4 linked regions of the Rattus norvegicus genome follow. The protein of the gene in region 4 interacts with the protein of the main gene of each other region in a pairwise test. Links are inferred from orthologs where the notes say so. Each region holds a gene or a part of one and is shown on either strand. Other genes may lie near its edges.

Region 1 (7,901 bases), on a different chromosome or scaffold from region 4:
GGGAGACAGATAACAAATAGGTTCCTGGGGTAGCCTAGCCTAACTGACAAACCCCTTTAACCCCAATATGTGAGAAACTAGGGCAAGGGCAAGTTTACCAAGTGCATTCCAAGTCAGCCGGGGCTAGCTGGTGAACGTGCCCTAAAACCAACCAAACTAAAGGTTAACTTCTGGCTTCCATGTGCATGCATACATATCCACACAAACAGGCCTGCACGAAACCTAGTAAAAACTGGTTTACTCATGTCGTGACTACATATTTCATTAGTGTTCTGGAATTCAAGCAATAAATTGACATCCTACAAAAGCTACGAAGATGGAGCTTGATACCAATTCAAATTCTCTTGCGAAATTAAAACTCCGAGGAGTACTTCACATTATCTTCATCCTTAAGGTAGTCTACTAATCATATCAAAGAAGCATTTGCATTAATAAAAAAAAAAAAAACAGCCCGGAGATGCCTTAGTGGGTACAGGTGCTTGCTGTGAAGCCCAACAATCATCAAATGGCTCCAATATGGCGTTAGGAGAGAACAGACTGCCATGCATGTACCACGGCATGTTTGTGTGCACATACAAGGAAAATGTAAAAACAAACACCACCTCAAGTCCCTCTTCCAATCTTCTTTCCAGCCTTTTAAATCATAGTGTCCTGGACCTCATTCTACTTTACCTCTCCTTCCCACAGCATCTCGATCATATAGAAATAGTCTTTTTAAGATCTGTGATCACAACCTCTGACTCGGCCCAATTACATCTGTTCACTTATAGTGTTGGTTCAATTAAGGGGTGACACCATCCTTGGGGGTTCATCTAGGTTCAAGGAAGAGAAACCACTCAAACTAGTTTAAACAAAAGCGAGAATTTATTAGGCAAACAGACTTGCAGAGATTCCAAAAGCTGTAATGGGTCAATAGCTAGAGCCACATTTTCCTATAGGACAGAACATGCTGTAGTCACCAATTCTAGTTCTGGGCTCTGTACCATCCTGAGGGTGGTCCTGCTTGTACCCTGCACGAGGGACTAGAGCGTGGGTTCGTTTTTGCTTGCCTTTTTATCTTTATAGTCCTTTACGCTGGCCTCAAACTTGACAAGCACATGCTGGCAGACATTCAAGAGCTCATTCAGGCCTTTCTGAAACGGCTCAACAGCTGGAAGTGCACCCCGTGTCTGAATTCGCAAATTAATTTTGCTCTCTGAAGGATGGGTCGTAGTGTAACCACAAAATTCCACTTCCGGGTTCTTCATGATTATGTACCGCAGACAATTTCCTAGTGTATGGTCCTCCTCGTGTAGTACAAATGTCACACACTGTCTATCTGTTCCAGCTGCCTGGACCATTTCCAGGGCTGTCTTCCTCTCGCCTTCAGCCATTGAGGTCTTCAATCCTGATATTTTTCTACACACATATTTTTTTGTGTAAGAATGAGATCATACGGAATATCGTTTTCTGATTAACTCTTAAAGATTCACTGCCTCATTTTCCTGCCTCCACACTTCTAGCCATAAATATTTAACTCGTTTCTCCCTACTTCATTTGACTCCAGCAAGGGGGTGGGTACCACCTCAGAAAAAAAACAAAACAAAAGAAAAACAACCCACGAAGTTAATTGTTTGCAAAAATCTTCGGATAGAGCAAAGAAAGGGGCAGAGTTATAATAGGGTAGGCCCTGCTTTAGATGAAAAGGGAGTTGACAGGCATAAAAAACACGATTACTTTAGCATAAAAATGGCAACCACAAGGTATCAGGGTGGCAGGCTCAGTTACAGCTTCCGTTTGAAAGAGGTAAGGAAACTAAGTGAAAGGAAGTGAAAAGTTTAATAGGAGGGAGAATTTGGCGGACAGAGAGAATTTACGAGCAGTCTGCACAGAGCGGAGTTGCAGTAACTTTAGCTAACTTAACACGCCAGGACCGCCACTCGGGACGGCTGGCCCGGTGCGTGACCTTACACGAGGCAGTTCTAATGAGGGTGGTGGCAGTTTGGGACTTACAGCTGGATTCCCTACCTCTCTCCCATCCCGGATGGCTAGCGTCCCTCTGGGCTTTTCTGTTATAAATGAACCCACGGCTCCTCCCTCTTCCCAACCCGGCCCGCTCTATTCTCTCTCCTCCCTTCCCCAGCGCCTGGGGTCAGGCCTAGCCGCCACGCCGGGCTCAGTCGGCCGCGTGCCCCTTCGCTACCCGCTTCTCTGGCCCGACCCGCCGCCCCACTCCACTCTTTGCCTCCAACCTTACCTCTCCAGCTCCTGATCGTCCTCCATCGCGGGGGGCGGCTCCGGGAAATCCTCAGGTGGCGCTGGCGAAAAGGAAGATCTTCCCCATGTCGCGAAAGGTGCGGGACAAGGCAGGAAGGAAGAAACCACCGACGGAAGGAGCGGATGACGGAAGGAGGGAGGCGGAGCCGCAGCGGCGCGGCAGGGCCCCCTCTGAAGGGCGGGGCTAAAACAGAACCCGCCCCCGACCACGCCCAGGCTCGGGCTGGACCGCTCACCTGGAACTGCGGAAGCCAGGCGGCTGCGGTGCACATTCTGTCCCCGAGTGCTACCGTAGATCACAGGCTTCTCGCCTGTTGCCCCGAGACATCTGCTATTTAGCGTCGGGGTCGGATCTCTGACTTGCTAGAGTCTCGAGGAACGGGACTGCCCCATGGCTGGCTATTCCCGGGACCGGAGTCCTCAGGGGCCTTTCCTGGGGCACCCAGCATATTGCAACCTTGAAAAAGCAGAGAGACTAGTGTGCAGAGGTGACTTTCCTGACGATACTGTGGGCTTTTTATTTTCTCCCAGGGGTGCAAATGTACATCTCCAATAGGTGCAAGGGCAGCGTTTGTCTTTCTTTTGGGAGAGAAGTGAGAGTTTGGAGCACCGCCCTCCTTCCTCCGGAGCTCACGCGGTGGACTTGCAGCTCCTTTTCCCTTTGAACCCAAGGAACCGCCCTTCTCAGGTGCATCCTCTCTTCTCCCACCTGACCCTGGCCAGGCTGGATCCCCGCCCCACCCAGCTGTCCTCTTGCCCTGCACACCTACACGTCAGCCGCCCCGCGCCACCTGTTCTCCCTCAGCCTGGTCCCGCAGCCCTCCCCTCCCTTCAGCTGTCCCACGCCAGGCGCGGCGCTCCAGGGGTGCACGCAGACACTTCCCGAGCGTCTTCTCTGTGTGTCTGAGGGGAGAATCCGGCCGGGAGCGATGGCGGAGGGCGGAACGCGCTCACTCTAACTCGGGAGTGATGAGCAGGGCCGACCCGGCCCCTAGAATTCCTTGATTGGTCGAGCGGCTCCAAGCCCGCTCTTAGTCCCGCCTTCGCCCGCCGTTGATTGGCTCAGGTGCGTGTCGGGTTGGGCCTCTGCGCTCGCCCCCGAGGGGAAAGGCAGCAGGGGCGGTTGAGAAGTAAAGTCTTGGCCGGACTTTGCTTCTCGCCAGGAAATCGGCGGCGGTGAGTCCCGGCAGAGCGGAGCCGGGTAGCGTCCTCGTTAGCGCGCCCGCGGGGAGCCCGCCGCTTTCCGTCAGTGAGTTACTTCGCCTCAGGTGCGGGCGGTGACGGGGTGTGGCGTCAGGGTAGGGGGGACCATCTGGGGAACCGCTGGGGGCCGCGTGGTGTCTGGCCCGGCCCGGTGCGGGTGCAGGTTCCAGGAGACCCGGTGCGGTTCTGCGCGCCTCTCGCTTCTCAAGACATGGACGTTTGAGGACGAGTTGTTGCACTTCGCGTCTGCACGTTGTCGGGAGCTAGAGTGGCGCTAGCCAGCTGCCCTTTGGTTTTGTTCCCTGGAAGGGATGAGCAGAGAGACCCTCCTCCCCGCCCCAGCCTGTTGCGGGGGAAGTCTCACCTTTCTCTTCAGATTTGACATGTTTGGGAGCGTGGGGGTATAATTTCCAAAATATGAATCCCGATTTGGAAGCATTTGCGCACAAAACACCTCTTGGGGAAAAACATCGCTGGCTTTTGAAAGCTTTCTGCCACGTTTCACACAAGGGCTTTTTTTTTTTTTTTTTTAAATGGAGTGTTCTAGTATTTCCGTTTGCATTTAAGATTGTGTGTTTGCCAGGAGCCTAAGGACGCTTCCGCGTGGCTTTTTCGAATCAATTTTTCTTTTCTCTGTAGCCTTGGCCAGCCTGGAACTCAGAGGGATCCACCTCTTTCCTGAGTGCTGTTGGGTTAGAGAGGCGTGCGCCCCACACCCCGCCAATTTTTCTTTAAAAATAAAATCACAGAAACCAATGGCAAGGATAGTTGGAGGATTCTGTGAGCTCCAGTTTATCCAAACTGCCTTCACTTTAAGAATGTCACATTCTTTGTAGTCACAGTACTTAGAAATTGGCCTCCTTCCCAGGACACAATTTGCTTTTTCTCTAGCCTGTACAGTGACACAGCACAGACGAAGTTGGATCTCAGTAGGTCAATCCTGTTTGCTTTGATAGATTTGAACACCCTCCCTCCCCCACACCTTCGGAAAAAAGGACTTTGGCAGGTAAAGAAGGAACCTGGGGGAATCTAGTGTCCTATTTGGCCTGCAGATCATTGTTGAGCCAGAGCTAAGAAGGTTTTGCCATTTTAGCCTGTCCAAATTCCATGTGAGTTTTCCCAAAGGGGTCAAATGTAGGCCAACTCAGAACAGCTCTAGAGTCACATTGCTTTTAATTTAGTCCATCCACTAAGTCTGTGTTCTTTTCCTCTAATCTTCAAGTTTGAGCCTTTTCATTGTATAAACATTTAGCTACTCAGTGTCTACCGCTTTGGCAACTTTGAGGAAAGGGATCATTTCTTGCCCAAAGTTGCTCAGTGGCTGTATACTTCTTAGTCCACTACCGGAAAGTAATTTGAACAAAGTAATGTGGGAACTTAAAATCATTTCTGCCTAGAATGTGTCAGAGGAATTGGCACAGGCTCTCTCTGGGAGCATCCTAAATGCTTATGGCTGTAGAATGTGACATTATCTGCTGTGCGTATGGTTAATCTGAAGAACACAATGTTTGGGGTTAAAGTAATAGGGGTCAGGGGCTGGTTTTTTTGTTCATCTTAGGTAGGGTTCATGGTATGTTCTACAACTGGACCCTCAGATATCTGTTGAAATACTAAAAAGAAAGGATTTTGTGTAGCACATGAAGACGTTTGGACACTTCATCCAGTCAGTGATCGTGGGGTGTTCATTTCAAGCAGGAAGATGCTGTGGTGAGGTTTGCATTCCATAGGGATAGCTGGGGGACAGTGGGGGTCCCAAGAGTGAGAAACAGAATGGGGCTACCGTGAAGTCTCTGTGCATATTATCTGTGTTTGCCGGGCTTTATTACCCGCTCTTAGCTCTTTAGCATTTTAGCCTGGTGGGTTTGAAAACCTGAAAAAATAAAAACAGTCATGGCTATGGCTCAGGAAAAGCTCAGCCAAAGCTTGTCATCAGCGGGTGAAGAAAGCTGGTGTGGCGTTCGGGCGGTATGGACTCCTCAGAGAGTGACTAGGTAGGAGCAGTGAAAGACGTTGATCCTTGGTTTCTTGATTTGCCTGTCTGCTTTCTGTTTTTGTTTTAGAGACAGGGTTTCTCTGTGTAGCCCTGGCTGTCCTGGAACTCACTCTGTAGACCAGGCTGGCCTTGAACTCAGAGATGCACCTGCCTCTGCCTCCAAGAGTGCTGGGATTAAAGGCCTATGCCACTATGCCCTGTGATTCCTGGTTTTTTTTTTTTTTTTTTTTTTTTTTTTTTTGGGGGGGGGTGAGTATGGACTGGTTAAGCTGGTTATGGAGGCAAAAGAGGAGTCGGGTTCTTCCACTTGCCTTTCTTTTTTTTTTTTTTTTTTTTTTTCTTTTTTTCGGAGCCGGGGACCGAACCCAGGGCCTTGCGCTTGCTAGCCCAGGGCAAGCGCTCTACCGCTGAGCTAAATCCCCAACCCCCTCCACTTGCCTTTCAAATTACTATTCCATCTGGTTTTGATTCCCTAACAGGCAGGAAATAGTCATAGTACTGTTTAGTAAGGTGTAAGGATCAAGTGAAATTACGCATGTCATACCCTCGACACAGTCTGTGGCGCTGAATTCCAAGCGCTGAATAAATATTAGTTGTTCCTTTAATGGCAACAGTATTAGTGAGGTAGTGCAATGAATGATGGTGGCTTGAGAAGGAGCAGTTTAAAACTGGGATGGTAGCGTACAGGGAGTCCGGCTCAGGCTCAGGCTCTGTCCTGTGAGCTGCCACATGGGTGATTGACATGTCAACCCAGCATGTTGGCTACACATCGCAAGAGAAGCCTGTGAAGAAGAGAGAAAGAAAGGACTTTTGCATAGTCAGTCTTTTTGGATTCGTGGTAAACTGTGAGATTGGGGGACAGGGGAAGGTGGAGTCTGGAGAGCAGTGCTGGTGGGGTGTTCATGTGGGACAGCAGGTGTGGGAAGTGCGTTTCAGAGCTGGGTGTGGAGACACACAACTGTCATCTCATTCATTCAGGAGACTGTGGCGAAAGAAGACTGCCGTGAGTTTGAGGCCAGCCTGTGGGTGCATAGTGAAATCCTATGACAAAATGACAAAAACAGCCCAGGTGGCAATGGCATGCATTCGGTCCCAGCATTTGGGAGGCAGGGGCAGTCAGAGCTCCTGAATTTGAGCCCATCATGGTTTACAGAGTGAGAGCCATGACAGGCAGGGATACACAGGAAACCTTGTCTAAACAAACAAACAACCCCCCCCCCCCCATGACAAAAACAAAACAACAAAACCCGGCCTCGGTGTGGCACATACACTTTTTCTCAGCTTGGGAAGCAGGGGCAGGCTGATCTTTTGAGAGTTTAAGGCTAGCCTGGTCTGTATTTCAAGTTTCAGGACAGTCAGAGCTATGTAGCAAAACCCTGGCCTGCCCACCCACACCCTGCCACATTGATTTTGCTGTAAAGACCTGTGGTTCCTACACCAGTTGGCTCTGATTTTTTTCTCTTCTTCTGCTTTCCACTCTCCCCTCCTAACCCCCACCCCAACTCAAATCCTTCTTACTCTGCAGAACGGTGTAACATTTCCCCCTTGCTTCCTGAACTACAGCTCTTTCCATAGCTGCCTTCCTACAGGCAGGAAGGATAGCAGAAGATAGGTTAACTTAAAAAGTGGTGCCAGCTAAAAAATTCACACACACACACACACACACACACACACACACACACACCCCCACACACCCCTCACACATAGGATTGTAAAATGTAGAGTTCTCCAGCTTGACTGTTAAAGAGCCTAGGAAGTTTCACAAAACAAATCTCCTTTAAACTTCCCTTAGCAGCAGAAACAGTAAAGTTTTGGTAATTTCAGGTAAATTTTTGGACTGGTTGGATCCAGAAGATGAGAGCTATTAGCTTAATGTGTTTTTCAGAGGACTTTTAGTTCTCTACTGCAGGATGACACCTCCCTCCAAGACCGGTTTGTGTGACTTGGAAAAAAACCTAAGAGTTTCTATCTTTTAGATTGTATGCTTGCTAGAGCAAAGGTCCCATCTGTTTTGTTCACTGTAAATTCCCCAGTGTGTGTGTGTGTGTGTGTGTGTGTGTGTGTGTGTGTGTGTGTGTGTGTATACATGAAGGAATGAATCCGCAAGCTTTGGTCTGCCTTTCTGCATATGTTTGGTCAGAGGGAAAACAAAAGAGAATGTGTTGTGACAAGAGGCCCTACAGTGTTTGCAAGCCTTTAAGAAGATACCTGGGTGAACCCATGGTTGTTAAGAGCCAGCTGTTTCCATGTGAGATAGATGCTGTCATTCTTCTCTTTTCACAGTTCACTGCCATGGCTGTGGGGTGTGGTAAGTTCTCCAAAGGTAGAGACGACCTCTGGGTCATGGTTCAGTAGTAAGTGCATGACACACGGGGTATAACCTTGGTCATAGGTTACTGACCACAGCTTCCTGGTTCCTGGGAAAGCTCCCAGGGAGAGCCTCTGCTAT
Region 2 (7,681 bases), on a different chromosome or scaffold from region 4:
CCACATGATCATTTCATTAGATGCTGAGAAAGCATTTGACAAAATTCAACACCCCTTCATGATAAAAGTCCTGGAAAGAATAGGAATTCAAGGCCCATACCTAAACATAGTAAAAGCCATATACAGCAAACCAGTTGCTAACATTAAACTAAATGGAGAGAAACTTGAAGCAATCCCACTAAAATCAGGGACTAGACAAGGCTGCCCACTCTCTCCCTACTTATTCAATATAGTTCTTGAAGTTCTAGCCAGAGCAATCAGACAACAAAAGGAGATCAAAGGGATACAGATCGGAAAAGAAGAGGTCAAAATATCACTATTTGCAGATGACATGATAGTATATTTAAGTGATCCCAAAAGTTCCACCAGAGAACTACTAAAGCTGATAAACAACTTCAGCAAAGTGGCTGGGTATAAAATTAACTCAAATAAATCAGTTGCCTTCCTCTATACAAAAGAGAAACAAGCCGAGAAAGAAATTAGGGAAATGACACCCTTCATAATAGACCCAAATAATATAAAGTACCTCGGTGTGACTTTAACCAAGCAAGTAAAAGATCTGTACAATAAGAACTTCAAGACACTGAGGAAAGAAATTGAAGAAGACCTCAGAAGATGGAAAGATCTCCCATGCTCATGGATTGGCAGGATTAATATAGTAAAAATGGCCATTTTACCAAAAGCAATCTACAGATTCAATGCAATCCCCATCAAAATACCAATCCAATTCTTCAAAGAGTTAGACAGAACAATTTGCAAATTCATCTGGAATAACAAAAAACCCAGGATAGCTAAAGCTATCCTCAACAATAAAAGGACTTCAGGGGGAATCACTATCCCTGAACTCAAGCAGTATTACAGAGCAATAGTGATAAAAACTGCATGGTATTGGTACAGAGACAGACAGATAGACCAATGGAATAGAATTGAAGACCCAGAAATGAACCCACACACCTATGGTCACTTGATTTTTGACAAAGGAGCCAAAACCATCCAATGGAAAAAAGATAGCATTTTCAGCAAATGGTGCTGGTTCAACTGGAGGGCAACATGTAGAAGAATGCAGATCGATCCATGCTTATCACCCTGTACAAAGCTTAAGTCCAAGTGGATCAAGGACCTCCACATCAAACCAGACACACTCAAACTAATAGAAGAAAAACTAGGGAAGCATCTGGAACACATGGGCACTGGAAAAAATTTCCTGAACAAAACACCAATGGCTTATGCTCTAAGATCAAGAATCGACAAATGGGATCTCATAAAACTGCAAAGCTTCTGTAAGGCAAAGGACACTGTGGTTAGGACAAAACGGCAACCAACAGATTGGGAAAAGATCTTTACCAATCCTACAACAGATAGAGGCCTTATATCCAAAATATACAAAGAACTCAAGAAGTTAGACTGCAGGGAAACAAATAACCCTATTAAAAAATGGGGTTCAGAGCTAAACAAAGAATTCACAGCTGAGGAATGCCGAATGGCTGAGAAACACCTAAAGAAATGTTCAACATCTTTAGTCATAAGGGAAATGCAAATCAAAACAACCCTGAGATTTCACCTCACACCAGTGCGATTGGCTAAGATCAAAAACTCAGGTGACAGCAGATGCTGGCGAGGATGTGGAGAAAGAGGAACACTCCTCCATTGTTGGTGGGATTGCAGACTGGTAAAACCATTCTGGAAATCAGTCTGGAGTTTCCTCAGAAAATTGGACATTGAACTGCCTGAGGATCCAGCTATACCTCTCTTGGGCATATACCCAAAAGATGCCTCAACATATAAAAGAGACACGTGCTCCACTATGTTCATCGCAGCCTTATTTATAATAGCCAGAAAATGGAAAGAACCCAGATGCCCTTCAACAGAGGAATGGATACAGAAAATGTGGTACATCTACACAATGGAATATTACTCAGCTATCAAAAACAACGAGTTCATGAAATTCGTAGGCAAATGGTTGGAACTGGAAAATATCATCCTGAGTGAGCTAACCCAGTCACAGAAAGACATTCATGGTATGCACTCATTGATAAGTGGCTATTAGCCCAAATGCTTGAATTACCCTAGATCCCTAGAACAAACGAAACTCAAGACGGATGATCAAAATGTGAATGCTTCACTCCTTCTTTAAATGAGGAAAAAGAATACCCTTGGCAGGGAAGGGGGAGGCAAAGATTAAAACAGAGACTGAAGCAACACCCATTCAGAGCCTGCCCCACATGTGGCCCATACATATACAGCCACCCAATTAGACAAGATGGATGAAGCAAAGAAGTGCAGACCGACAGGAGCCGGATGTAGATCGCTCCTGAGAGACACAGCCAGAATACAGCAAATATAGAGGCAAATGCCAGCAGCAAACCACTGAACTGAGAATAGGTCCCCTGTTGAAGGAATCAGAGAAAGAACTGGAAGAGCTTGAAGAGGCTCGAGACCCCAAAAGTACAACAATGCCAAGCAACCAGAGCTTCCAGGGACTAAGCCACTACCTAAAGACTATACATGGACTGACCCTGGACTCTGACCCCATAGGTAGCAATGAATATCCTAGTAAGAGCACCAGTAGAAGGGGAAGCCCTGGGTCCTGCTAAGACTGAACCCCCAGTGAACTAGTCTATGGGGGGAGGGCGGCAATGGGGGGAGGGTTGGGAGGGGAACACCCATAAGGAAGGGGAGGGGGGAGGGGGATGTTTGCCCGGAAACCGGGAAAGGGAATAACACTCGAAATGTATATAAGAAATACTCAAGTTAATAAAAAAAAAAGAAATGAACAATAATTTGATTGCATAGCTTGATAGTAAAACAATTTTATTGTGCTGTTAGCCAAAATATTTACCTACAGTAAACATATAGTTAACATTTCCAACAAATTTACAAAATTATACAATGAGAAGTTAACCTCAACTTTAGAGTATTTTCATTTCTCTAATAATCACGTTGCCCTTCGGTTCTAATTCCATTTATTGTTTTTTGTTGTAGGATACGGAGCTGATATTATCTCTTCTAGTTTCTCTTGCTATTCATAGAGAGTGTAAACTATATCTTTATCTGTTAATCTGCTTGAAACTGAGCTACAAGTGGATAAAGGTCCTCAGCATAAAACCTGATAGTCTGAATCTGGTAGAGGAAAATATTTGGATTATACTTGAATTTACTGACACAGGAATGCATTTTCCCCAGTAGTTAATACATTAAATCCAATTAATACATGGTAACTCATGAACTAGACCGCTTCTGTAAAACAAAAGACACTACACTATCACTTAAGTAACGAGGCAGCCTTTAGAATGGGAAAAACTTTAACAATTATGTATGTGGGATGATGTCACTGGTGAGGCAGGTACAAGATAGAATGAGGCCTGTCATTGGACGAAAAGGAAGGATGGGCGGGAGAAAGTTTTGAAGGAAGAGGAGGAGACAGAAACGGAAGAGGGGAGGAGAGAGGAGCGAAGCCGCGGCAGAACAATTTGGAAGCCTGTGTTTAGATTCCACGCTGTACCTCAGCAGGTTATATATGTTCTTAAGGGATGGATGTGTAATGGGCTTTGTATGTTTAGGTGGGCAATTGTATTTTATCAATTGGATCAAAAATTATTGTGTTGTATCATCTTTCATGTGTAGATTTAAATGTAAGGAAGTGTGGGGCGGCTTGTCTGGGTCGACATGGAGTTGGGATGTGTGTTTCTGGCATGGAAACCTGCCTTGGGACCTAGATAGGTAGAGAGATTTCTTCCAGGCTCAGAGAGGCCTTCGGCAGTGTGATATGGGATGCAGCAGAGCAGGTGAGACGCTTTGCTGACTGAGTTTGGGATATCTATCAGATATCTTGGGGGTACTGTGGTGCCGGACCTAGAGAGGGTATAAGACAGCATTTTATTTTTATAATTTTCAACAACATATATATCTGACACGTTAATATTTAGAGTAAACAAGGAACTACACATCAAGAAAACAAACAATGTAAGTAAAAAATGGGGCGTAAAATTAAACAAAGAGCTCTCAAAAGATGAAATGAATATGACGGAGACATTTTGTTAAATGGTCAACATCCTTAGCCATTAGGGAAATGCAAAGTAAAACTACTTTCAAATTTCCTCTTACTTCAGTCAAAATGACTAAGATACAAATAGCAAGTGATGACAAATACTTGTAGGGATTTGGGGAAAGGAAGCACTTGTTCACTACTTGTTGAAGTTATTCATCAGTGTGTTCACTGTGGAATTAGTGTAGAGTTCCTCAAAACACTGGAAATTAATCTACTGCTTGGGCATATACCAAAAGAACCCTATATCTTACTAAAGAGACACTGTCTCATTCATGTTCAATGCTTCTGTATTTATGATAACCAGAAATGGAAACTCCCAGATGTCCATCAACCAATGAATGGATGGTAAAAATATAATACATTTATACAATGCAATACCATTCACCCATTGAATACTAAAGTTGAATTTTTCAGGTAAATGCATGTATTTGAAAACAATCATTCTGAATGATGTAAAACAGACACCCTCCTCCCCAAAGGACAAATGTTGATTGCTTTTACTTGTTGCAGATGCTAGTTTTGCATCTTCAGATTTGTGTATTTATTTTGAAATGCCCATGGAAGTCAGGAAACTAGTAAGGACATATGGTGGGGCATAGGATGCTTTTAAGGGACCAATTAAATGATGCAATCATTTAAAGGGAGAAAAGGGAATAGTGAAATAGGAGGAATGAATAAGGTGGGAGATGGGTAAACTGGTTAGAAGAATATATACATAGAACAATAACAAAAGATCTATGTACAAAGTCATATGGAAACCTATTCCCACATATATTGGAGCTGTTAGCCAGTGAAGTCCCATAGACCTCCAACTATTAAATGCTATTGATATTGCTCTTGGTTATCCTCCAGAACTTGACAGTAAGACCTTATTTCTGATGACACCGCATACTTGAGTCATAGAACAGAAAGAAGTCAAACTGGTATCCATCTGATAGCTTCATTCTTACTGGATAAATTCCATGTTGCTGAAAGGTGCTATGTACGTTAACAGAATGGAAAAATAATCAGTAACTAACTCAGTTGTACAATGGTGGCATGGATATTTTAAATGTAGTAAACTATTTTTTTTCATTTAAGGCCTGTTCCACAAGATGAAACACATAACTAGCACAATTATTGAGGGCAAGAACTTTTGATCAGGTAATTCATAGTCCCTAGGGAAGAATTTGCTATTATTATTCTGCTAAATGGACACAGTGTTAGTATAAAACTTAGCACTATGCTAGTAGATTTGTGGGTAGTTCAACCCTCATCACCGTCATCGGAGTAGCTTCTTTTTGAAGTAAATGGTGCTAACATAAAGAACTAAAAGCAGCTCCGGTGCACTAGAGTAATAAACTACAGAATTCTCAGCCCAAATATGATAAGTGAATCATACCTCTTCACCCAAGTCAGGGATTATTGCAGAAGAAGGAGTGAAAAAGAATGTTAGAGCTTGTCAATGTGGATAAGGACAAAGAAACAGTACTTTCTGGGAACAACTATGTGGTTTCACATGAAACCCACAGTCACTGAATGTATACAACCCGTGTAAGTTCAAGCCCAACAGAATTTCACCACGGGGAGAAGAGGTGGGTATATTTCACATCTATGTGAAGACGATTGTCAGTTGATGGCTTCTAAAAAAGGAAGCATCAGTTTTGCTTAAGGGTGTGGCTTAAAGTCTAATGGATGACCCTATACCCAAGAATATAAAGATAACCCAAAGCAGACTGGATGAGTTAAAAACAAAACACAAAACCCCAAACACAAAACCAAACCAAAACCCCACAAAGTTCGGTGGGCAGGACAAAGGGCATGAATCTGGATGGTTTTAGAAGAGACAGTGGTGAATATGCTCAACTTGTATGAACTTAAATAACTAACAAAAGTACTTTAAAAGAAAATGGACATATACAGTATGATGGTATTTTTTTTTCCTGCCATTTTCAGTTTGTATAATTTTCCATTCCAGCATCAGTGTGTTAATGCCAATTCTGTGTGCCCTTACTGGCACGTGACATTTTCACATTTTCCTTACTATTTTCTTGTTTATCTGGCAGGGCTGTATCTCGAAGTTTCACCCTCTTTTTTCCTAGAACTTCATGATATTCTGCATCTTCACCAGTGATTTCTATTGGTGCATTTTCTCTTTGGAAATGTTGGTTCACATATTTTTTCATGTTAAATTCTATTTTCTCATTATTCAATGTTTAAAGTTTTTCATGTACTTTGAATAGCCTGCCAGTAAAAAAAATATGTAATTTTAAAATCTGAGTTTCATAACATATTTTATAGCCTATCATATAATTATATTTTAATTATGTTTTCAAGAATACAAGCCTTAAATTTCAAGTCAAATATATGGTTTTCAAGAATTGTGTTTTGATATGCTTTTCAAACAACAAATATTTAACCTGAGATCACAAGATGCTCTACAATGTTTATTTAAGGAATTTATACTTTTAACTTTTATAGTTAGGTATATGAATAGTTTTGTGTCAATTTTATGTATACACTAGAATTACTGACATTCATATTTTCCACATTTATAGCCAATAGTTCCTCAAACACTTTCTAATATGGTTATGCTTTCTTCACTGTATTACTTTTGAAATTTGATGAACAATTCTTTGATATATTTGTTTAATTTAATTTGATTTGCTCTTTATTAAAACACAATTACAAAATTCTACCCCATTAGCTTCTTTATAACCTCCCTCATGTTCTCTTGCCAGTCTATATCATTTTATGGCTTCTTTAAAAACTTATTATTGTTAAACACATACAAACATAATGGCATGCCAACAGGTGATGTTATTTTTTACAAGTCTTGTGTAAATAGCCATATTTTTAAGTCATCATAGGTATAGCTTCCCTATCATATCTAGAAGACATACTCCTACTGAAACCTCTTGGTTCTATGACTTTTATAATCTTTCTGTCCTCTTTCCCTTATATTCTGGGCTTTAGACGTAGGGATTTTATTGTATTTTTATCAACTGGAACTAAATATCCCATGGTTACGGTACTCTGCATTTCCCTCAGTGTAGCTTCCTGTAATGGTGTCAATATGTTGTAAAAAGAAGCTTCTTTGAGAAAGATTAGAGCTAAACTACTCTATGAGTATAAGGATAAGTATTTACAGTGTTAGAAATTCTACTGCTTTGGGAAAGTAGAAGTAGTTTGCTTTCCTTTAGGATACATATGTAGTTGGCTAGGTTTGCAGTACCAGGCAAAGTACATGCCTTGAGTTCAATTAGCTGTTATTTATCATGGAACAAAGAGCCACCATTTCACCATAGGGATTATTTCCTCTGTCTTCTCATTGTAGTGATTTTAAAGACTGTGTGACTGAATAAGACTATTGGTTGATTGCAATCTTTTGGTATTAGGAAAGTTAATAACCAGATATAAAGCTTTCAGGTCTGATGCACTTTAATTCTTCCAGGTCCTGTGTCCAAAACATATGGTGTCTTAATTTCATGTTCTAGAAAGAAACCAAGGGCCACAGCAGTAGCTTATATTATTTTGGGGAGTTTTTCAGACTCTCCTTACCAACAACTTGAAAGGAAATTTCATGTCTTGCAGAGTTTTTTTTTTTCTTTTGATAGTGGATGGCTCTTTAGGAGAGCATTATCACTCCATGTG
Region 3 (7,669 bases), on a different chromosome or scaffold from region 4:
CACAGAACCTTTGACCCAGAATATGTCCTGCCTACAAGATGTGCAGGGACATGGATGGAGCACAGACAGAGGGAGTGACTGACCAATGACTGGCCCAGGTCGGGACCCATCCCATGGAACCAATCCCTGATGCTGTTAATACTTGCAGACAGGAATGCAGCCTAACTGACCTCTGAGAAGCTCAACCCAGCAGCAGATAGAAACAGATTCAGAGACACACCCCCTCCCCCGAGCCAAACATTAACCTGAACCTGGGTAGTCTTGTGGAGGAGTTGGGGGAAGGACTGGGGGCCCCGGAGGAGGATGGAGCCTCCACACGAAGACCACAGTCAATTAACCTGGACCCTTGGGGGCTCTCAGAGACTAAACCACCAACTAAAGAATGAGCATGGGCTGGACCTGGGCCCACACACACTTGTGTGGTGCTTGGTCTTCATGTGGGACCCCCAACAACTGCCTCTGAACCTGTTGCCTGACTGCGGATTCCTTACTCCTGGCTGGACCACCTTGTCTGGCCTTGGTGCATGGTACTGCAGTGACCTGATATGCTGGGGAGGTGAGAGGAGCTCCCCACTTTTCGAAGGAGAAGTGGTGGAAGGGAACGAGAGGAGCTGTGGGGGTAGCTGGGAGGAGAGGGGGTGCCGATATTCAGAGTGTGGAGTGAAAAAATAAATTAATGGAAAAAAAAAGACAGTCTCACGATGAAGCTCTGGCTGGCCTGGAGCTCAGAAATCTGCCTGCCTCTGCCTGGAATCAGAAGCACACATCACCACACCAGGCCTTAGACTTTTTTAAAAAATCTTTTTGAGGGGACTGGGGAGATGGCTCAGTGATGACTAAGAGCACTGGTTATTCTTCTAGAGGAACTGGGTTTAATTTCCAGCACCCATATGGCAGCCCAAAACTGTCTGTATTTAACTCAAGTTCTATGGGATCCAACACCTTCATTCAGACCAAACAACAATGCACATGAAATAAAAAATAAGGAAAGCATTTTTAAAAATCTTTTCGGGTTTTTTTTTTTTTTTGAGAGAGGGTCTCATGCAGCTCAAACTGGCCTCAAATTCCTTGCCTTCCACCTCCCAAGCGCTGAAATTACAGACACATGTCGCCATATCCAGATAAACAAAAAGCGCGGGGCTAGGAGCCAAATTCTGGACGTGGCAAGTGTGAGGCAAGCATTCTGCACTGTGGTACATCGCCAGATCGCAACAGCATTTGGAAGTGTTATCCTGCCCTTATCAACAATAGATCAAAAGAGATTCCGAGTTTTCTCGAGTGTTTTCAAGAAAAGTGGGCAGCCAAGCACCGTAGCGCACATCTGTAATATCAGGACTTGGGAGACTGGGACAGGACTATCTCCAGTTCGGATACCTATCTAAGCATCTGGGTGAGCTAAAGGCCATCCCAGATGAGTGGGTGAGATCCTGTCTCAAAAAAAAAAATAACGTGGGCAAAGGGTCCTGTTTGAACTTCTCGCTCTGTCTCCCTTCATGATCATCTTCTGTAAATGACAGTCATGGAAAAGTCCCTCGCCTTGAATTTTGGTCAGGGGACATAGGAAACAAACGAGTTTCTTGCTCGACTCCCTTTACAATTGGAATTTAAGTAATGTAGAACCCTATGAAAACCTGATCTGTCCTTTCAACCCCCGTCTCATCCCTTACTCGTCTCCTTCCATCGAAGCCCGCAAGTAGCTGCCTTGCTTTTGCTCTAAAGGGAGCCTTCCCTTGAATTTCTCTTCAAAAAGTTTCCCGGTCCTTTTCTTTCTGAATCTGCTCTTCCTTCACAGCCCGCGGTGCCCCACGCACACTGTAACAATAACAGTTACGTCTCTATTTCTCCCCAAGAAAGACACTGTGGGGGCCAGGTACTCACGAATCTAGCCAAGCCCCGAGCCCCAGGTCGCCCCAACAGCAAGAGGGCAGCCTGGCGCAGGCCACGGCTCGGCCTCCAGATCTTGGCCGCGGACATCGCTACCGCCATCTTGGCTAGTAACCACTCCTCCTTTCTCAGGAGATAGACATGCGTCTGTCCCATCAGATGCCTTATTCAAATCTCAGCACCACTAGGCCAACGCACTATTTTCTTCCAACCGCCTAGCAACAAAGACGTAGAAATAAGTAAGTTGACCATTTTTATTCTTTAAAATTGCTCCAGTCGTCTGCTTGGAGTTGTTCCAATATCAGGCAATAAAAAGGACAACCTCACTTGAACCTCCAGGGTTCAGGGCCCGGGGCCTTGGGCAAAATGGGCCTAGTCCAAGTCCTGCCCCTTATTCCCTATTCTCCAATGGCTTTGCCAGAATTGGGAGGTGGAGGTGGGCAGGACCAGATTGTTAGTAAACGCCGAGCCACGTGCTAGGGCCACTTCGGGAGTGCCCTAGATTGGCGCTTGCGCGGTAGGTACACGGCCGGTAGAACTGCGCGTGCGGCTGAGCGGAAGCTACGGTAGGAGCCCCAGCGCGCGTGGTCAGCGGCTATGGAGGGAGCAAAGCGTGCAGACGCCAAGGTACTCACTGACACCGGAACAGAGTCCAGCCCTCGAAGTCCAGTCTGCAGCCTCCGGCACTTTGCTTGTGAGCAAAACCTGCTGTCCCGGCCGGATGGATCTGCTTCTTTTCTGCAAGGTACGACTTTAACAAGGTTTAACTCAGCGCGCGCCATCCTCACCGAAGAAGGGTTTTTGAAGAGCGGTTACTGTGTAGTGTGCAACCAAGTACGCCCACCTCCTTGGAGAATTTATTTCTAGATATTGCGTATACCCACCTCCCGACTCGAGAAGAAATGATTTGGCCAGGCTGGTCAATACCTCTTGGAAGAAATCCAGGGCAAGACCCCTCTCCTAAGAGTGAATATTCCAGAATAGGTGTTTCACCAAGGCAAATATTATCCTTGACTAGATTTCTTAAAAAACACTTCTGGATCCATACATCATCGGTTGAGGCTAAGGTGTTTATTTGCATAAATACCCTTTGAGACAGACACATCACCACTACTGGTTTAAATATAATTACTGTGGCAGGTGATATACCTAAGTAAATGCTCTGAAAATTGAACGTGATCCTCCCATCCTGGGCTAACAAGTAGCTCCCCTTCTCTGGTCCCATCATTTGAGAAAACATGCCTTTCCTTGGTATACACGTCTCATCAGGGTAAATGAATAGAAAGAAAAGAGAGATCTCGAGGCTGAGGCCCACATAACCCTGTATCCCAGTCCAGCCAACCAACTTTGAGAGGTCATGGGAGGGTAAAAAACTACCAGAGTAGACAAATGAAGAGGACAAAGATGGAGTTGACAATGGGGAGTTGTGTTTGAGATATTAAGAGCTGATCACTTTATGGCTAGTAAGTTAGTGTGGGGTAGTGGTGGGTCAGAGAGAGCAAGAAAGGACAGTTAAGACAACTGTTCAGGCATTTTCCTGGGAAGGGATCTGGTAGATGGGACAAGAGTTGAAGACTGACAGGAGCTTAAGAAAAGAAATAACACCTTTAGTCACAACACTTGGGAAACAGAGGCAGGGTCTCTATGAGTTCGAGGCCAGCCTGGTTTGTGGAGAGGAGTTCCAGGAAACCCTGTCTTGGGGAGAAAAAAAAAGGGAGACAACCGGGAACTGGAGAGATGGTTTGGTGGTTAAGAACACTTGTGGCTCTTGAAGAGGACAAAGTTCAGTTCCCAACATCTATTCAGGAGGCTGTCAAGCACTTGTAACTCAGGAGCTAGGGGATTAGAAGCCTCTGCATGCAGGGACACACACACACACACACACACACACACACACACACACACACACACAGAGAAAGAGAGGGGGGGCTTGCACAAGCATGCATGCACATAATTAAAAATAAAATAAATCCTAGGGACTGAAAAGGGGAGAATTTCTGTAGCCCCGTTGTAGAGATGGTGGGAAAGAAGAGACTATTTTGCTTGCCGAGAGCACAGTTTATACAGCAGAACAGGAACAGCTACTGTGTAGCTCTAGTAAGCACCTGAGTCTAGTTGGGTCACTTCTGGTTTCAGGGCAGATGTTGGCGCTAAGACCCTGTCCCATTGGGTTTCCTTGGAAAAGCACCCGCAGATGTAATAGTGTTCTCATCCCAGGCTGGCTCCTGGTTTTGCTCACTTGCTAAACTCAGCGTCTCCTGTCTCTCGAGATATAAGAAATAGAATGGGAACCCTTCCATGTTCTAAAACTCTAAACCACGGGGCCCTGGTGCAAATTGGAGACCTTGCAGACTTTCAAAAAGAATGTTGCAGATGGGGCTGGAGAGATGGCTCAGTGGTTAAGAGCACTGACTGCTCTTCCAGAGGTCCTGAGTTCAATTCCCAGCAACCACATGGTGGCTCACAACCATCTGTAATGGGATTTGATGTCCTCTTCTGGTGTGTCTGAAGACAGCGACAGTGTACTTATATATAATAAATAAATAAATCTTTTTAAAAAAATGTTGCAGACACATCTGACCTCAAAGGCTCCTGCAAGAACACCCTATGGGAGGGGGCGTGGCATCAGTGAGCAGTGCAAATGATGGGTATATGTGATAAATGACACACTAACCCTATTACTTCATAGCTGACCTCATTAGGCTCCTCTTGCTCTAATAAGGACCATGACCAGAAGCAACCTGTGGAGGAAAAGGTTTGTTTGGCCTACATACCCCAAGTCCATTGAAGCAGGAACTGAACCATGGAGGAGCCCTTGCCTTTCATGGCTTGCTCAGCCTGTTTTCATTTATAACCCAGGACCACCTGCCCAACAGCAGCGCCGCCCACAGCGAGTGGGACCCTTCCATATCAGTTGTTAATCAGTGAAATGCCTTGGGTCCGGGAGTGTGTGAATTCCCCTGCAGACTTGCCTACAGACCCTTCTGATGGAGGCAGTCCCTCAGTTGCCTCAGTTGAGTTTCCTCTTTCCAGGTATGGCTAACTCGTGCTGAGTTTACCAAATGCAAAGCAAAGGAAGTAACTAGCCAGCACAGTGTCTTACCTTACAAGCAAAATTGATAAAAAGAAAAAAACCCAACAAAAACAAAACCGATGGTACTGAACCCCTAATCCTAGCAGCAGGGAGATAAATAAAGGCAGGAGGAGCAGCTCGTGCCAGGGTCACTCAGCTGCACAGCATGGGCGAGGCCAGCCTTGACCACACAGAACCTGACTGCAGAAAGTCCAATGGAGGGCTGGAGAGATGGCCCAGTGGTTAAGAGCACTGACTGCTCCTCCAGAGGTCCTCAGTTCAAATCCCAGCAACCAACCACCTGTAATGGGATCCGATGCCCTCTTCTGGTGTGTCTGGAGACAGCCACAGTGTACTCATATAAATAAAATAAATAAATCTTTTAAGGGGCGGGGGAAGGAAGGAAGAAAAAAAAGTCCAGTGGAAACCTACAGAGCCCCGGAAGCTGCCCGTGTAGGTTTGTCATCCTATTTTCTGCTTTGGATTTAGCATGAATGCCCCACCACAGAGTGACATCCCTGAGCCCTCAACTTTTAAATGATTGATTTCCTATGGATGTCCCCAGTGCCCGAGCAGGACAGAAGAGTGTGAACTTCCCAAAAATGTAGTTACAAATGGTTGCGAGCCATCTCTCCAGCCCCAACCTGTGATCCACTGTACACATACATTTTATCAGTGTGCAGCTGTGCTGTAAAGCGGGAGTTATGTCAGAAACGTGGAGACTGCTGTGCAGTGCAATGCCTTCCTGTCGTAGGGAGCCTCTCTGAAGCCTGCAGACATTAACAAACTCCTCACACAAGGGCCAGTAAGACCCGGACGGGACCAGAAGCCAGACTTTTTACTCTCCAGACCCATTTGTAACCACTCTGGGAAAATATGCAGAAATTAAGACCCCCCCCTACACATCACAATCTTTTTTTGTTCATTTGTCCTTTTAAAATGCTTTTACTAATATATTTTAATTATATCTAATAAGGGATTTGTTTGGTTGGCTTATGAGATGGTCTCATGTAGCTCAGGGTGGCCTCAAACTTAGCTCGGAACCAAGGATGATCTTGATTTCCTGATCCTCCTGTCTGTCTCCCAAACACTGGGATGTGTATGTACTTCGGGGGTGAGAGCCATGTGTGTGCCAGTGCCCATGAAGGGCAGAAGAGGGTGTCGATCTCTCGGAGCTGGGTGATGTGGTGGTTGTAAGCTGCCTGATGGGGGTGCTGGGAACTCATTTCTAGTCCTCTGGGAGAGCGGCGTGCATGTTGACACACCACCACCACCCAGCCATCCCTGCGGCCCCAACTGTCTCTAACAATTCACCATGGCTGAGGTCCGCAGTAAGCTCTGCCCCTGCTGACCAGTGTCCTGCATGTTTGAAGGGAACTGCTTCTCTTTAAAGTCCGTGTTTATTTCATCTTCTTGTGCGATGCTGAGACACATGGCCTCCTGCTGCTGTGAGACCCAGTCACCTGATCGGCACAGAAATGCCCTGAGGGGGGGTTGGGGATTTAGCTCAGTGGTAGAACGCTTGCCTAGCAAGCTCAAGGCCCTGGGTTCGGTCCCCAGCTCCTTAAAAAAAAAAAAAGAAATGCCCCGAGGAAGACAGTGCCCCTGCTCAAGTGGTGGGTGATCCCCGCCTAAAAATGAGAGAGCAGAGGAAAGAAGTGCTCAGGGTGGCACAGAGTAACCAAGGCCTCCCTCGTGTTCCCCCAGGTGATACCTCTGTCCTGGCTGGAGTCTACGGGCCGGCCGAGGTGAAGGTCAGCAAAGAAATCTTCAACAAAGCCACCCTTGAAGTGATCCTGAGGCCGAAGATCGGCCTGCCCGGTAACTGGACTCCACTGACCCCCACCCCACCCCGTAAAAAAAGGAACCCGGCTCGTCAGGACCTCCTGAGTCCTCGATGCTCGAATGTCCAGTCTCTCTGCACTGCTCTCCTCCCTCTTTGCCCAGCCTTTGATTCTGCTGCACTGGAATGGAGTCCAGAGCACCACGTCTGTGAGGCAGAAGCTCCTCCAGGGTGGATTCTGGTCGAGCCCTCTGCAGAGCTTAGGCTTCCGGGATCCGCACAGGTGGGCTCCAGGCAGGCATTCTAGCCCAGAGCCACGCCATTAGCCTTTCCCTGGTGAATTTAAGGCTATGTGGCGAGGCCATGCAGCCAGCCCTATTGACTTTTTGAGACAGTCTCAAATCCTCTGAGCTGGTAGTGAGCTCTCTTTGTAACCCAGGCTGCCCTCAAATTTGTGATCCCGCTGCCGGGGGGATCAAGTCCCAAGATTACAGACCTGACCACCAGAACCACCCTCTCTTCCTACAATCTTTTTTTTTTTTTTTTTTTTTTTTGGTTCTTTTTTTTTTTTTTTCTGGAGCTGGGGACCAAACCCAGGGCCTTGCGCTTCCTAGGCAAGCACTCTACCACTGAGCTAAATCCCCAACCCCGAGCCACCCTCTCTTGAGCCACGTCTCTGCCTTCCTCTCTCTTCCTTCCCATTACCTTGTTTTTCTAACCTGTTAGTTACCACATCTCCCCACCCGTGGTGGGATGGGCCTGCTCTGGTGGGAGTAGATACGGCCAGTATCACAGAACATGGCCACGTCCAGGTTTTCCTCCTTGGGTGGCTGGCTGCCAGACCCCTGGCCAAGGTTAGGCATAGCGGGTGTTACCCAGAAACGTTCAGACTCTCCTGGGAGTGTGTACACCATCCCGGGCCGAAGCTG
Region 4 (7,926 bases):
ACGGCTCAGCTTGATGATTTGAAATACTTAGGTGTTATTGCTGTTCATATATACCCATCAGAAAACATTAATTTAATGTAGCTTATTTTCAAAGAAAATTGTAAAATGAGTGTTATTTGATGCTCAAAATCTACTACCTAGAAAGAAAACAGGGGGGAGGGGAGAGGGATTAATTTGATCTAATATTTAATTTTGAGAAAAAATATACACAACCCTATGGAAAAAAAAAACCATATTCTTCAGGTACCTCTGTTAGCATAGAGGGAAGTCTGAAAGGCAAACCATAGTTTTCAGGCACCACAGCAAGCCGAGGATGTCACAGGTGATCTTGGTTGCCTTACTAAAGTACCCTCTGGAATTTGGACCATGAGAGAATTACTATTAATACAAAAACACCAACAAAGCCATTTCCACTTTTTAAGCCATAAGTAAATAAATAAGTAAAAAAATACTGGTTAAAATTTTGAATGAAAAAGTCAAATTAGTTCAAACCCTGAAAGGTGGGTGATTTTTAAAACATGGATTTTCCTTATGTTTTATCCATGTCTGCTGTAAGTCTCATTTGTTAAAAACCAATGCTATCAGTGAACAGCTAGGTGAATTTACTTTGGGGAGAGAAGAAACTGCTTCTAAGCATATGACAGTCCCGCAGTCATCCGAACAGGGACTGTTAAATAAACAATGTTTCAAAATCCTGGAATCAGTCTGTGTTGCAGAAAAAGATAAACATTTTAAAATTAAAAAATGATTATGTTCGCCCAATTTCCTAGATAAATGTCTTTCGCTCTTGGAAATCTGCATTTATTTATTTATGGAGGTCAACACTTAACTTCTAATAAGTAGATTCCCAGTAAATGAATGAGTTTTTTGCTTAATGCTAAAAAGCTTAATGCTTTGTACAGCCCAAGGTCCCTTCTACCTTGTCGCACACAATGGGTCAGAGTCTTGTTTTTCCTCTAAGGAAAGAAAAAGCTGTGGGAATGTTGCTGAAATAAACTCAATTTTAGTCTTGAAAAACAAATAGGTTTCGCTGTGGTTCATAAATCCAACTCACTTGTAGACAATTTGATTTTCCTTTTAACCTTAACTTTTTGGACAAAGATTAGCAACAGATTGTTAATTTTCTCCGCACCTAAGACTCTGAGCAGCTTCCGCGGGAATCCGCATTAAGGTTTTATTTCACATCCTTTCCCCGTCAGCATTTGAATATCTTGTTCCTTTGCAAATTTCCCTAACGTTAAAAAAGATTTTTTTTTTAAACAGGTTTATATCAATCGAACCAAGCAAATGCTTGGAGCTAGTCTCGGTGACCTGTTTCAAGGGTTTGAACCCACAGTTACTGCGCCCCAAAACATTCATTCACCCACAAGATTTAGAAACACATAACGGCGCGGGGGTGGGGGGGAAGCCGAGGTCTCTGTGTAAACCTTGTAATCACCTCACAAAGTCCGTAGCTGAAAGCTTCCAAAGCCGGCCAAGAACATTGGAAGCATCTACAGCTGTTTTCAATTGTTCTTGATTTCCCTTCGTAACATATTTAGTAGGGCAATGGGTGCTTTTTGCAGCATCTCCGGCCCCCAGCCATGGTTGACCCTGACCTGAACACCGCCGTTTGGCTCCCAGAATTTCATGATCCTGCTTCCGTGTTCGGTAAAAACCTAAGAAAAATCAGGTTCGCGCCACCAGGAAATACGCTTTAAAAAAAGGCAGGGAGCGGGGTGGGGGTGGGGGCGAGATTCGGTCTTTTAAATGTCACATTTTGGTGGTCTTTCTCTCCACCAGATTCCAGAAAATGAGAAAAGACGTACATCTTTGTGTAAGAGATAAGCAGCTGGCCAGCCATGCCCTTTGCCTCACATCTAGGCCAGAGAGTCTCAATTGTGGGGTAAAGCCCCCACCCCCCCACCCCCACCCCCACCCCGAGGGGCAGCGACCCCCAAGTCTGTTCCAGAGATCAGAAGATGTCCACCACCAGGCTGTGGGGGGGCGAGGTGGGGTACACTCCTTAATGGAAACTGGAGCTGAATTCCTGCCCTGCTGGACAGGGAGGGGCCGTGGGGGTGCAGAAAGAGAAGGCCAGGGGTCAAGCCTGGGGAGGGACCCACTTGGCCCAGGAGGTGGGCTGAAGGGTGTCCTGAAAGAGGGGTGCTGGGGGGGCGCATTGGGCATAGAGCAGGACTAGCACCCTTCGGGCACGCCCTGGTACCCCAGAACCCGAGTGGGGGAGGGTGAGGCGGCGGCCTGTGGGCCCCTGAACCTCCATGTCGCGCGCAGGCCACTAACCTGTCAGTAAGAATGTGCCAGTGGTCGCGGGGCTCATCTTGAGTGTCCCCCGACCCTTTCCCGTCCAAGCACAAGGGTCTCCCAGCTCCCACCACCAGAATAATAGCATTCTTGGCCTGCCTAAGCCGTCCGTCCTCGATCCTCCCCTCCCCTCCCTTTCTTCTTTCCTCCCAGCTTGGCCAGTTCAGCATCGTGCACCCCCCTTCCTGAGCCCATACTGCCCCTAGCGGCGGGCCAAAGCGGTGCATGCCGCGCCCCCACCCATCCCCCCAGGCGCCCGCCCACGCGCCCCCCCTCCGCCCCCGCCAGCTCGCGAAGCACGCTGGGATTTGGCGCCCCCCTCCTAGGATCTCTCTATATAAGGCAAGCAGTCCGGGCTCTCGGTACACGCGTTTCCAACTTCAGTTGGTGTGTGTCGAAGAATCCTGACCAACTACGACCTGAGGAGAGCCACCAACCGAGAAGGTCCACCAAGCTTCGCCAAGGTCCGCTGAGTGGGCTGCGGTCCGGAGCCTTCTCCGGACCGCGGTCACCCAGTGGGCCCGGCCGTCGCCGGACCCCTCATCCTTCGTGTCATCGCAGAGGATCCTCGTGTGGTGAGTATGCGGTGAGGATTTTTTTTTTTTTTACCCGAAAATGATCACACGCAATCCCCGATTTTTCTTCCCAGGAGCTGCGGGAGATAAAGTAGCGCCCCCAGAATATCTCCTCGCGAATTTTGTCACGCCTGCCTTCAGTGGCCGCATCCTGAGACGAGAGCATGGAAAGCAAGTCTTCACGGCTTTGGGTCCGGGACTTCGGTTTCCATGACTCGCGTCCAGCATTGGTCAGTAGACGCATGAGCTGCGGACAGCGATGAGCTGCAGACGCACATGAGCTACGGACCGAATTGCGATGAGCTCCTCAAATGCGCTGCAAAGTGGCTGGCTACTCCGCTACTCTTTGGCGCTTGAATGCCGCGCTACAAACGGATAAGCGCTTTAGTTGCGCTGCAGACGGCTGCTTCTTGCGCTGTGCTGAACTAACGGGCGCTTCATGCGCTACAAAATACTAATAGGCGCTTTACGCGCTACGAAATACTAATAGGCGCTTCATGCGCTACGAAATACTAATAGGCGCTCCATGCGGCACGAACTGATGGGCGCTTCTTACGCTTCGATCGTCTAATAGGCGCTTAACGCGCTGCGATGTACTAATGGGCGCCATGCGCTTCGATGTACTAATGAGTGCTTAATGCGCTTCGATGTACTAATGGGCGCTTCATGCCTTCAGTGTACTAATGGGCGCTTCATGCGCTTCGCTGTACGAACGAGCGAACTGGCGAACGGGCGAACGGGCGAACCGGCGCTTCATGCGCCACAAACCAGCCCGAACTCCAGAGATACACAAACCGACTCCTTGCTTCACGCACTCAATTCCGAGCTGCAGGAGAGTCACAAAATGCAAAAGCGCAACAAGAGTGGGCTTAGAAATGCGCTACAAACTGCGGCAGAGGCAAAAGACGTGCAGACTCGAGCTACGCGGAAAGTAGTGTAGCGTTGGAAAGACGAGAGAGTACAACTCTCTCCTCGGGGAAGAGGCGACACAGGTTTACCTTTCGGATCAAAACGCGTTGCGTTTTCTGGTCAGACGTCCATCTGCATGATGGTGGTGGTGGTAGACAAAATGGAGCCCTGAGAGGCCAAAAATTGGTGTTTAACATTCTGCCCACGGGACTCCTGCTTACGGCAGTAGAGTGGAGGGGTGCTGGATTTTGGAGATGGCAGAATGGGCTGCCTTGTCTAGTGGTGATTGATTGAGGTGACGGTGCAATAGACTCGGGGGCACGAATTGGTGTCCAGCAACAGTTTGTGGAGACAGTCCGGTTTGCTGGGTGGGTCCGAAGCCGAGATGGGAGGTGGGGGTTTGCTCTTGCTCTACGGAAGGAATTTGGTGGTTGGGAGGGGTCGGGGAGGTAGGGGGGCGGGGGGAGGCATGCAGACATTCTGCAGCCCTGTAGCAGCCAGTCTCAGACCTGCCCCGCCCATCCTAGCCTTGTCTCATCTGCAGAGAGGTTGCGCGCCTCGTCTGCGCGCGTCGCCTGTCGCGCGCCTTTCCAGAACATGCTTCCACAGGCCCCACCTCCCGAGTGCTGATGCCTTTGGGACAGCCTACTTAGCCCCCGCCCTCAAGGCCCGCCTCCTCTGAGGCGGCCTGACAAGGCCCCGCCTTTCCCTTAGCCCGCCTCCTCCTAGGAGGCCGGCCCAGGTCCCGCCTCTCTTAATGTCCAGCTCCTCCCATAGCTCCTCCTCTGAGGAGGCCTAGAGCCCCGCCTTCCCTCAGCCTGCCTGCGCCTGCGCACTGTGGGCCGCAGCCCCTCCCTTCAGGTATGCCTCCACTGCGCAAGTGCGCCTCTGCCCTGTCTGAGCCTGGCTGCACAGCCCCGCCTCCCTGCGGTTTCTCTGTTGCGCGGTTTTACTTTTTGTCCACAGGTGTCTAGTAAATATAAGAATAATAAGAATAATTAACAGTCACAATAATAAGTATACCTGGCAAGCAAATGCACTTTTAATAAGTGCATTGCATTATTAAATAAAAAGATCCCACAATTAAAACTCCTGATAGTGGGATATGGGAACTAGTAAGAAGACGTAGCTGATGCCTTAAAGCAATGAAGGCAATTAATTTTAATTTTATTTTAAATTAAAAATTAAATTTAATATTTTCAAATTTAATTATTTTATCAAGACACCATTGGACTTCCTGAAATTAAATGCTTTGGTAACTACAAAGACAGAGGTGACGAGCACTGTGTTTCTTAGGAGTTTTCAGTGGCTTTGGTGTTATAGCTTGGCTTCTGGGAGAGATGTTTATTAGCGTAGAACAGGTTTGTTGTTGTTTTTGTTTCTTAAAAATTCTAGGTGATTGGGCCTGCCTGGCCTGCTTGTAAAGGTGTGCTTGGCGCATAGTAAGGATTAATTAATTGTGTGTTGAAGTCCGAATAAATTATTGTCTTGCTGCTGGCCTTCAGGCTTTTTTGGATTTTTGTGCCTTTTTCCTATGGTGCTTTGCTGTCCTGAGTTGAGTTGCTGCCCCTTTTGAAAACACAATTAAAAGTTTCTTTTTAAAAAAGTATGTTTTTGAACTTCAGTAATGTAAGCTGTAATTATAATGTGAATCAACTAAGTTATATTCCAAATAATTAGCTTTTTTCATAAAAAGCTAATTATTTGTTATTCCAAGTAATTAGCTTTTTTCATAAAAAGCTAATTATTTGGTGTCCCAAGTAATTAGCTTTTTTCATAAAAAGCTAATTTACACTTGGGGCAAGTGGGTTATTAATGCTACATATTGACATTTAAATTTTGCATGATGTAACAGAGTGGTTACATTGTAAGACATAGATTGTTTCAACTGGCTTAATTAAACATCTGTATAATTTACAGAGAAGCCAAAATGTTTCTAAATTAATGAAGCAATTTTAAAAAAATCTGGTTCCATATATTATAGACTATGAGGGAGAAACAGGGGCTTTTGCTCCACCAAGCTCTTGCCTTCTTAATGCCCCTCCCTAGTGTATAACTATCTGTGGGATGTATATATGCTTATAATTACAGCTTGAAATGCATGCTTTGTAAATTTTGTCTGTATATTAAAGAGATTCAAAATACTGAAAAAATGTATGCAAATTATATTGCACAAATAATCCAGGTAATACTAAGAAAAGGAGATTTTAAAGCAACTAAAAGTTGACTAATGGTGTTTCATTTCCTAATGAGACATTTACATATGATTTTACTTACTATTATTGCTCTTTGTGTTCAGGGGAATTAAAACTTGGAAGAAGTCATTTTAAAGAGTTAATAATTAATCAAATTTATTTGTTTATTTTTAATTGACTAAAACTTAATTATCATATAAATATGGTCCTGTCTCAAGCAGCTTGGCTTATACAGTGTGAACTCAGTTTTCAGGAATGGGAGCTCACCCATCCCCCCATTCCCCCCAACCAGTCCAGCCCTTTAAGGGGGAATTTGAGGAGCCACAATTTTTAAGTGAAATTAAAATGAAGTCAAAATGCTTCTTGCTCATCATCAACCTGTGCTGCCCAACAGTAAACATTGTCATTCCTTGTTTATGATTACTGTTAACCAGTTTGCCCAAGATCCTATTACTTTTTACGATTAAAACTAACTACTCAGTTTTGGAGTAGAGTCCCACCCCAAAATTGCAAGTCCCCCCTCTCCCCAGGGGTAAGGCCTGGGAGTGGTGAAGGTCACAGATCTTCAACTGGTGACCTCACCTGCCAAATGAGGCACTTAATTTGTTTAACCAGCATTGTATTATTAAAAAGCAAAAGCAAGCCCCCTTGAATATCTTGATGGGAGGGGCACACCCCAAGTTGTGGGAGTACAGCACCTCCCCATTATCTTAGCTCTAAGCCCACTTTAAATGATCTTACTAATTAATTAAATGATTGATTGCTGGTTTCCTAATGCAGATTCTGACCTATAGTTAGCTGTCTTTTATAGCTGTTAATGTCCACCAGACCTGGCCACAATAAAGCCCAGCCCAGTAGGGCTAAACCTTCCTGACCTGAGTCAGTCTGTACTAGGCCTCTCTGAGACCATCTTAAGAAAGGTTTTAATTTATATTTTGAAGGTTTTTTTTTCTTTTTTCTTTTCTAGATGACAAGTCACACTTTAGTCACCTGTGTGCTCTGCTTATTGGAAATGCCATAGGAACAACTTAAGACAAAAGGAAAATATCTCCAGGTGGTTATCACAGGGGAGGGGCTTAAAAGGTTGGGGTGGGGGGTTGCAGTGTTTGTTAAGAAAGCAGGGGGGAGGGGACAAGGATGAACAGGTATCATGTGGGATGTCAGTTTTCCTTTTTTTAAAAAAAATATTCAACAGGTTAAAATATTAGCTAACTTTTCTAATTAAAAAGTTTTTATCTTTTTAGTTTCATGGAAATTAGTTAGTACCCATTTTGCCTTGATTGATCAAAGGAAAAAACTTACCTTTAAACTTATGACTGTTCAAAAGTTTTAAACTTTATATCCTAAACTTGTAGTGAGCTTTTTTTAATTACAAGTTTGTAACTATTAAAAAGTTTTAAACTTTCCAAACAACTTTCAAAAAAGTTTTAAGCTTTAAACTTAAAAGTTGTAAGTTCAAACATAAAGTTATTGTAACTTCAATAAACTTTGTTAAATTCTTTAAAAAGTTTGCTAGACTGTCCAATTACAAAGTTTTCAAAACTTTCTAAAGTTTTAAGCTTTAAACTTCAAAGTTGTTTGTAAGTTCAAACTTTTTTTTTTTTCTTTTCTTTTTTTTGGAGCTGGGGACCAAACCCAGGGCTACCACTGAGCTAAATCCCCAACCCCAAGTTCAAACTTTTCAAATGTTTTTTTAAAACTTCAATAAACTTTGTTAAACTTTTTAAAAAGTTTGCTAGACTGTCCAAGTACCAAGTTTTCAAAACTTTAAAGTTTTAAGCTTTAAACTTCAAAGTTGTTTATAAGCTCAAACTTTCATATTTTCTTTAACTTTAATAAACTTTATTAAACTTTTTTAAAAGTTTGCTGAACTGTCTAATTACAAAGTTTTGAACTTTTTGTTCTTTACTACAATTATTTAAATTTTTATAATTCAAGAGCCT

What was found.
Region 1: the proteins of Peg10 (region 4) and Lnx2 interact in binary tests that used the Homo sapiens proteins (3 or more experiments, as listed by UniProt). The link is inferred for Rattus norvegicus from reciprocal best matches to the Homo sapiens genes PEG10 and LNX2.
Region 2: the proteins of Peg10 (region 4) and Ldoc1 interact in binary tests that used the Homo sapiens proteins (3 or more experiments, as listed by UniProt). The two-hybrid records come from large-scale screens. The link is inferred for Rattus norvegicus from reciprocal best matches to the Homo sapiens genes PEG10 and LDOC1.
Region 3: the proteins of Peg10 (region 4) and Exosc5 interact in binary tests that used the Homo sapiens proteins (3 or more experiments, as listed by UniProt). The link is inferred for Rattus norvegicus from reciprocal best matches to the Homo sapiens genes PEG10 and EXOSC5.

Annotation. Positions count from the first base shown.
Region 1 is NC_086030.1:13,115,773-13,123,673, forward strand, and holds the start of Lnx2 (ligand of Numb protein X 2), read left to right. Parts: upstream 1-3,366; 5' UTR 3,367-3,505; exon of another isoform or gene 3,506-3,524; intron 3,525-7,901. Other genes in the region: Polr1d (DNA-directed RNA polymerases I and III subunit RPAC2), read right to left, coding at 2,237-2,262.
Region 2 is NC_086039.1:144,998,333-145,006,013, forward strand, and holds the start of Ldoc1 (protein LDOC1 precursor), read left to right. Parts: upstream 1-3,434; 5' UTR 3,435-3,510; intron 3,511-7,681. UniProt on the Homo sapiens protein: May have an important role in the development and/or progression of some cancers.
Region 3 is NC_086019.1:90,293,511-90,301,179, forward strand, and holds the start of Exosc5 (exosome complex component RRP46), read left to right. Parts: upstream 1-2,398; 5' UTR 2,399-2,481; coding exon 2,482-2,629; intron 2,630-6,664; coding exon 6,665-6,778; intron 6,779-7,669. Other genes in the region: Bckdha (2-oxoisovalerate dehydrogenase subunit alpha, mitochondrial), read right to left, coding at 1,879-1,986. UniProt on the Homo sapiens protein: Non-catalytic component of the RNA exosome complex which has 3'->5' exoribonuclease activity and participates in a multitude of cellular RNA processing and degradation events.
Region 4 is NC_086022.1:33,806,355-33,814,280, forward strand, and holds the start of Peg10 (retrotransposon-derived protein PEG10), read left to right. Parts: upstream 1-2,671; 5' UTR 2,672-2,879; intron 2,880-6,950; 5' UTR 6,951-7,037; intron 7,038-7,926.